Linked DNA regions of Struthio camelus. The protein of the gene in region 1 interacts with the protein of each later gene in a biochemical or structural test. Links are inferred from orthologs where the notes say so. Each region holds a gene or a part of one and is shown on either strand. Other genes may lie near its edges.

What was found.
Region 2: the proteins of NFYA (region 1) and ZHX1 form a complex in vitro, tested with the Homo sapiens proteins (2 studies listed by BioGRID). The link is inferred for Struthio camelus from reciprocal best matches to the Homo sapiens genes NFYA and ZHX1.

What each region holds. Positions count from the first base shown.
Region 1 is NC_090965.1:5,976,395-5,980,297, forward strand, and holds the start of NFYA (nuclear transcription factor Y subunit alpha), read left to right. Parts: upstream 1-1,222; 5' UTR 1,223-1,353; intron 1,354-1,594; exon of another isoform or gene 1,595-1,773; intron 1,774-2,009; exon of another isoform or gene 2,010-2,345; intron 2,346-2,673; exon of another isoform or gene 2,674-2,810; intron 2,811-3,367; exon of another isoform or gene 3,368-3,819; intron 3,820-3,903. Other genes in the region: ADP-ribose glycohydrolase OARD1, read right to left, coding at 380-447, 747-819. UniProt on the Homo sapiens protein: Component of the sequence-specific heterotrimeric transcription factor (NF-Y) which specifically recognizes a 5'-CCAAT-3' box motif found in the promoters of its target genes.
Region 2 is NC_090943.1:160,143,680-160,147,582, forward strand, and holds the start of ZHX1 (zinc fingers and homeoboxes protein 1), read right to left. Parts: upstream 2,393-3,903; 5' UTR 2,217-2,392; intron 1,940-2,216; 5' UTR 1,830-1,939; intron 1-1,829. UniProt on the Homo sapiens protein: Acts as a transcriptional repressor. Increases DNMT3B-mediated repressive transcriptional activity when DNMT3B is tethered to DNA. May link molecule between DNMT3B and other co-repressor proteins.

The DNA.
Region 1 (3,903 bases):
CATAGCTCTCTTCTACAAAGTCAGTCACAAGTATCACAAGCCAGCTACTCAGTTCACTTTACAAAATCAAGGCTGAATAAGGAAAAGGATATAACACAGAGCGCAACTGTTTTGGTGCACATCTTCAGCACACTTTTAGTGCATCAGTGCCCAATATCCCCAGACGTTTACTTAAACAGATAAGCTCTGTGCTAATGTACATCATCCATATCACCGATACAAGCACAGGAGCACTGTAAAGTTGACAATATATTACTTTAATATCAGCCACTTTCCCCACAAAAGCAACATGGTACAACTGCCCTGTTATTAGGGGACAAGAAGGACTCTTTACAAAGAGACACATCACAGCAGCTCAAATAACCCATTTTCTACGCACTCTCTCCCCCTGATCCTTGAAGAAGTGGGTGGCCATGGTAACGTGGGCTATGGTGAAGACTCCTTCAGCTGAAAAGATGACAGAGAGAAAGAGAGTTATTAGGAACCCCAAACTGGGAAACAAGCTGGTGTGATAGAAGGCGCAAGGCTGAGACTGCCTATTAATGGGATACATGGGGCAGACAAAACAGCCCCTGGGAAGAGAGAGGAAAGGAAGCCAGCTTCCCTGCTGCAGCCCCACAGCTCCAGCCTACTGAGGTGCAAGGCAGGCCCCAGCCTAGGGTTACCACAATAATCAGCACCCACAGGCCTTGCACCTTCCTTCAAGCCACCCCGGCCTCTTCAGGAAGCCCTTCAGTAGGCCAGACCTGCAGGCACAGCACGAAGAAGTCGCCGGGCCGGGCCTTGTGCCACGAACAGCCTCCCCAGTCCTCCCCACATGAGCCAAACCAACCCGTACTCTCCACTGGGGCAGGCTCATCGTCACACAAAAATGGCCGCCCCTGCCTGCTTGTCTCTCTAGGCAGGCTGGAGGAGCGCCCTCTCTATGATGCTCGCCGAGAACATTCCGAAAGCCAACCTACCCGTCCCACAGGCGCCTGCGCAGATCGATCCGAGGCGGAGCCTAGGGAGAAGACAAGAAGAGGGGGTGGGGCAGCAGCCAGCGCGTGCGCGTTGCAGGCCGCAGGGGCCGGATGAGACGCGCGCGCTCCCCTCGGCGCAGGCGCAGTAGTCGCGGTGGGGGGCCGGGCGCGGGTGGGCGGTGCCTTGTACGAAGGGCCTCGACGAAAGAGGCGGGGCGATGCGGCGCGGGCGCTCCGGTGCGCCTGCGCAACGCGTGCCCGCCCCCTCCCCTGCCTTTGTTCGGGGTTGGGCGCCATTTTGCGCGGCGGCTGAGTGGAGGCGCTGATTGGGTTTCGGGGACCGGTAGCGGAGCCAATCAGCGCGGGACCCGAACCGGGGGAGCGAGGCACGGTGAGTGCGAGCAGCCAATATGGAGCCCCCGAGCGCCGGCCCCAGCGCCGGGATTGGCGGGGCCGAGTGGCCAGTCAGGAGGCCGCTCGCAGGGCCGGGGCCGGCCGGCCGGGCGCTGGGGGAGGCGAGGGGCCGGGGCCCGGCTCCTGCCGGGGGGGGGGGGTGAACCGGGAGGAGAGGGGCCGGGGTGGGCCGGGCCGCGGGAGGAGAGTGCCTGGGCTGGGGGCCGGGGCGAGCGTACCGGGCGGTGCGGGCGCGGGGCCAAGGGCGGCAGCCGTGGAGGGGAAGGCGCCGCCGCGGGCTGCGGCGGCCCGGGCTGCTGAGGGGAGATGCGCGGCAGCGGGCCCGGCCTCCCTCGGCGGGCCTGGCCTTGCCCGTGCGGGGCCGCTGGGACGGGAGCCGGCAGGGCTCCGCCCTCGAGCGGCCGGGAGGGGGGAGCGGGGCGGGCGAGCCTCTCCGCTGGCCCCGCTGACAGATGGGCCGCGGGCGGCCCGGGCTGCCCCTCCTCCTCCTCTCCCCCCCCCCCCCCGCCGCCCGCCGTGCCCGGGGGCGGGGGGAGCCGCCGCCTGTGCGCCAAGGGCAGGTCGCTGCCTCCGCCGGGGCAGCGTCCCCCGGGTTCCGCCCCCCCCCCCCCCCCCGGCCATCGCGAAAAGGACCTGGATGCCAAATGCCGCCGGCCGCGGGGAGAAACCGCCTCGCTGCGGGTGCGAGGGGCCTCGGCGCCGCCTCTGCCGCCCCTCGGCGGGCTGCGGGGCACTGCTTCGTCCGCCCCGGCGCGGCCTCTGCCCGCAGCGAAAATTCTCCCGTCTCTGGCTCTGCAATAAAATGAAAACGTCTCTGGGTGAACTCCCCGACTTACAAGTTTGATAAGGAGGTCAGGAACGAGAGACGGACACCTCGTGGTGTTTCCTGTTGAACAGCAGGAGATAAGGCTGTGGCCTGTCTGCGCTGTTGTTTAAGTGAAATCCTGTTCTTGGCTTTGTGCGAGTGTCCTGTCCGTTGAGGACAGTGATCGCGGGGGTAGGTTGACAGGGTCCGTCCTAGAAATTTCTGCCAGTTTAGTAATGTTGCTTCAGGGTGTGACACAGTTTAAAATGATGCTTTCATGCTAACTCAAGCTCTGGCATAGATTATCACACGAGCAATGTCTCAGCACAGCTTATCCATGTGGGGAGCTGTCGATGTAGCTGCTGTTAGGATGGTGTGTAGATGAGTGTATATATGTATATACTGATAGAACTAGAGCACTAAGTCGTGGCCAGTGCGGACAAGGGCCTGGCAGTAAGGCATGTGGAGGGAGCTCACTAGTGAGATCAGCTGTGGGAGGGGCGTGCTGTCGCTGATCTTTAAAATTTAACTTTGACAGAGCAACGCTGACTCTGTTTTAATGAAGAGAATGAAACATAATCCTGTGGAGGACTGCGATCCAGTACATGTGAAATCTTCCATTGTGACGGGTTAGCTACGACCCTTAGGATTGCAATGTTACTTATGTTTTAAGTAAACAGGACAGGGGCTTGATGTGAGGGTCTGAGAAGAAGTATTCTGGGATATAAGTAGGTCTGCGCTTAATTACTGGTTGTGGCGTTGGGGAAACCAGAGAAGTTTTGGCCAATGTAATTTAGTGGCATCCCGAGCTTGCTATTGGAAATGCTTCCATGAAGAATGAAATGTGGGAGCTGTTTTCTGACAGGCCAACACACTTTTAGGGAAGAGATTAAGTATGCTGGGCGCAATGAAAACCTTGATAGACAGAAGCAACTCAGAAAGAATATTTGTCTCCTCTTATTCTGCGGAAAACTGTTGCTAATGGGTCAAAGATAGTTAAAATTGCAGCAAAATTTCTGTGCTGTGACTCAGATTATTTTTGTTGTTTCCAGCTTTAGTGTTCTTGCATCTTAATTCTGAACAAAATACCTGATCGGGACCGAGAAGGCTTACATTATTATGGCAGTTGTGTGTCCTGCAGTGAACTTGCTTCTGATCTGTCCTGATACATATTGGTTAATCTTTTTTTTTTTTTTTGTGAGTAAACAATACTTTGTGTTAATGAACAAGAAATCAATGAAATGTAAAAACATAGCATGTTTTCTTAGGTCGCAGTGAGGAATAACTCTATGAGAAAACTGAAATGTTCTTAAGATGAATGCAAGACACTTAAGTACAAAGGATATTTTAAAATTAAAGAGCAGGAAGTAAGAGAGGTGTCATTACAGTAGTAACCACAAAAACTATTACGGTTAGTGGAAGTTGTGGCTAAATGTTATATGCATTTCTTTGAACGCTGAAAGGACCTGTTTTTTTATTGCTTTAAACTTTGAAGATGAAGGTCAAAGACTGCTTTTTCACTAGTGTAACGGGTACTTTTCCAGTTGTAGCATAAATCAAATTCCTCATTAAAAGTAATGGTAAGAATTCTTTCTTTGTTGTTCAACTAAGAAGAGAAGAAATGTGGGGAAGAAAGAGGTAATGGAACTAAGTATTTTATTTCAGCAGTGTGTTCTTCATATGTCTAGGCAAGGGTCCAAGAAAGGAGAGGTAGTAAAAGGA
Region 2 (3,903 bases), on another chromosome or scaffold:
ATACTGACCGTTAATTTACGGAAGAGATCAGAACGCCCAGGGCCTCATGCACCCCGCTTAACAACGTTAAGAACCGCCCCCACCATCACAACCCCAAAACTGTTATCACATAGGACTGAAATTTAAGGGGAGAGGAATCAGTCTGTCAATTTTGAAAGAGGCTCAGGCTTTCAGAAAATTAGAGAAGATAATTTCATAAAATTAAAATGCTGCATCTGACACAGGGGAATTCTACATTAGACCTCAGTTTGACAGGTAAAGAACAAATGAACACCAAAACAAAGACGAGCCATAGCTTAGCTACAAGTGAGCATGATTTGATTACACTTACTGTGTGCAAACAGAATGAAAAACCAGCTTGTAAGTACTTGGTGCTTTAAAAGGACCAGCTTCATATAGCTGGAAAAAAATTCTGAACTCAAGCTAAAAGAGAGAATCTGACTTGATAAGACTGATAATTTTTCAAATATGACCTCTCTAAATTCCAAAGAACTCATCTCCCAAACAAAACGGCCGCAAAGGTTAAACATAACTAGACAAAAAATTGAATCAAACTGTAACCCTCTCTTTCACACTACACGTAACAAATGGGAGAAAGGGGAGAACTAAGTGGCAAAGTTCAGAGGCAGTAATAAGCTTAAGTCGAAAGATACACATGGTTAAATGAAGCAAAAGATGCAAGGAAACCGTCTTTTCAGTACATTAGGAACAAAGAGAAACCCCAGACATAGTACAAAGTCCATTATTTGTTAGTGATGCTTCAGTACCGAGAAATCCACAAAAGGCAGAGATGTTCAACAAACAGCTTTAGAAGTCTCCAACGACCTATTCATAGGCAGTGATAAATATTCTCTATTCCAACAGTAACTAAGAACGGTAAGTGACAGCAGTCAAGGCTAGACGCCAGAGCACTTGATGAGGCTGAAGCACGCACAGGTCATCAAGGGTGTTGTCAGAAAGGACAGAATCCAGGAAAACTCCTAAGAACCATTAAGAGAGTAGGAAAGCAGGCCTTGCAAGGAAGAGCGCTGCCTCAAACCGTTATGCTTAACAAAGGCAAGTTTAGGACAATCGCAGCAGACGCCTATGCTAACCAAAAGGGGAGAGCAGAGGGCTTGTCAGTCTAGCAAAGACAGAGCAAGTGCCAGGACCTGAAAGTTAACGGCAGATCGTTTCCGCTATAAAACATAGCATCTATTTCTCATCAGCTGAGAGGAATTTGTGGAACCTCACAGCTGAAACGCGCTGCCTCCCTGACCACGTCTCAACGCAGTGACGGGAGGGTTTCCTGACGGTGCGTGCTCGTTCAAAGAGGTCTTTGCTTAGGGCAGCCCTACAGTTTGCGTCGTACGGGTTGTTTTAAGCAGCTGGAACGGGCTCTTTTCTGTCTCTACGCGAGCCCCAAAGCTTCTTTTTTTTTTTTTTTTTTTTTTTTTTTTGCGTGCGAAATCCTTCTGAACAAAACCAAACAAGACGACTGCTGGTCAAAACCAACAGGGCAGCTTCTAAAAATTCCCGTCTCTAACTTTAACAAAACATCAGTGTCCATGTCACAAGTTCCATAACGAAATCCACTTCCATACGCACTTTTGACGTTCCCAACACGCTCTCTGCTCATCTCTATTTAAAAAAAACAAAACAAAACAAAAAAACAACCGAGCGGCACCTCTTCCAGCTGGCAGACCCATCCGCACCCCGGCCTTTCCGCTTTCACCGGCGCCCGGTGCAAAGCGAGCCCCTTGGTCCCTCGGCTATTTAAACCCCCAAGAAAAGCAAAGCGGCTCAAAACATGAAGCACGGGGAAAGCAGGAAAGCAAAAAATGAAGTACCTGCCCGGGAGCGCTCGCTGTTGCGGATATCCCGAGTCCTCCCGGGGATCCAGGGCCGCCTCCGTCGCGCCGTTTACCGAAGTGGCTCCCGATCGCCGGCGCTGCGCATCCTGCGGCGGGGGAGAGCGGAGCGTCAGGCCGCGCCCGGCGCCTCCGCGCCGCCTTCCCCAAAACTTCGCCCGCGGAGCCGCCGCGGGCAGCGCAACGGGCGGGCGGGCGGCGGCGGCGGTGGGGCGGCGGCCGCCCCCGCGGGGCGCACCTGGCCCGCGCCCGCCGGCTGCTGCTGCGGCGGCGGCGGCGGCGGCGGGCGGGAGGGCGCCGCCTGCCGCGGGGCGCCCGCTGGCCTCCCGCCGCCCGCTCGCCCCCGCCGGAGGGGCCGGCCCCTACCTGGCGGCGCCGCGCTGCCTCCTCGCCCCCGCCGCCGGCGCCTCCGCCGCCCGCCGGCCGCCTCCCCTCACGGCCGCGCCGCCATCTTGCGTTTCACAAACTACTGCACTTCTTTGGCGGCGGGGGGGCGGCGAGCGAGCCGCGAACTCCCAGCGCCGCCGCCGCCGGCCGCCCGGGCCCTCGCCTCGCCTCGCCGCGGCCCGCGGCGCCCACTCGCATCCTCCCGGCGCCTCGCTGCCCCCGGGCTGCGCGGGGAGGCCGGGCAGCGGCGGCCGGAGCCTCAGCCTCCCTCACAGGGAGCGGGGGCGGAGCCGCTCCGCCGCCCCGCCCGTGAGGCGGCCGGCGGGCACCCGCCGCAGGCCCCGGCCCGGGGAGCCCCCGCGGCCCTGCCCGGGCACCTGCGGCGCGGCCCGCGGCTCCCCGCGGCGGGCCGGGGCAAGCGGCTCGGCCCCGGGCTGCGCCTCGGGCACGGGAGAAGGCAGAAGAAGCCCTGGAGGCGACAGGGAAGAAACCGTTAACGAGGCGGCGTTGGATCAGCAGCAGCTTCCACCAACTCCTCTGAACCGAGATCTCCGCATACATAGGAGGGATGTGAATCTGATATGTACCTATATGTGTACGTGCGTGTGTCTGTGTACACGTGCATGTGATTTTTTAAAGCTAGCATCGGCTTTAACCTCACAGCTTTTCCTTCTCTGCAAATCTGAGATTGCGTTAGCGACGGCCAGTCTGTCACCAAAGCAGGGAGTTAGCGTACGGCCCAGCACCCCCGCGCCGGGCTCGAACAAACTGGCACAGAATTAAAGGTTGGTTTTTTTTTTTTGGGGGGGGGGGGGGAAGGGAACTATAAAACCAAATAACGTGGGTTTTTTTATACCTCCTATCAGAACTTGGGGAAAGAGGACCTCTTCAGTTAATACGCCCCTCAACGGGTTAGTCAGGCTTTAGTTTAACTCCTGCCACACGCACTTTTTGAAACGTTCTGTTTAACATACTAATCTTAAGCAGTAGTTTGCAATTTGGGGTCACACTAAAATTTAAGTTTCCTCACAGTAGGAAGAAAAAAAAAAAGCAATAGCATCACACCAACCTTTAAGATTTACACATCTATACATTTTTAAAACAATATAGGTACTGTTTCCTGCTGAGGCTAGCAGTACATAAAAGTTGAACCAAAACTCTGAAGTTTTGAGCAGAACACTGTTTCTGATTCTTCGTTTGCCATGCTTTTTTTTTTTTTTTTTAAAAAGTTCAAGTAAGAAATTTCCTAGTTACCATACAATGAGCTAGCAGCGACTCCCTGGTGAAAGGTGCATTTTGGATGTCAGGCTTTCAACTTCACCTTGAAGTGGTAAAAAAGGATTTTTTTGCTTCAATAATTTTTTCCCTCTCCTCTCCCTGGAGGATGAAAGCTTCCTGTTGTCCACTGAACGTGTCCTCTACTGTGGCTTTCAGATTCAGCATCAGCATACAGCGTTTTTTCGCTTACATACACATGCACTCTTGAAATCTGGAATTTTTATTTTCCAGGTACAGGTGAATCCTGGACAACACTTGCATCCGTAACATACCCAAGGAAACAACTGAACTAAGTTATATTGTAGGTAAATACAGGCAAATCATATGCCAGGTAAGTTGCATGTTTTATGACTGAAGTAGATGTAATTGTTAAGATAAGGAAGTAGTG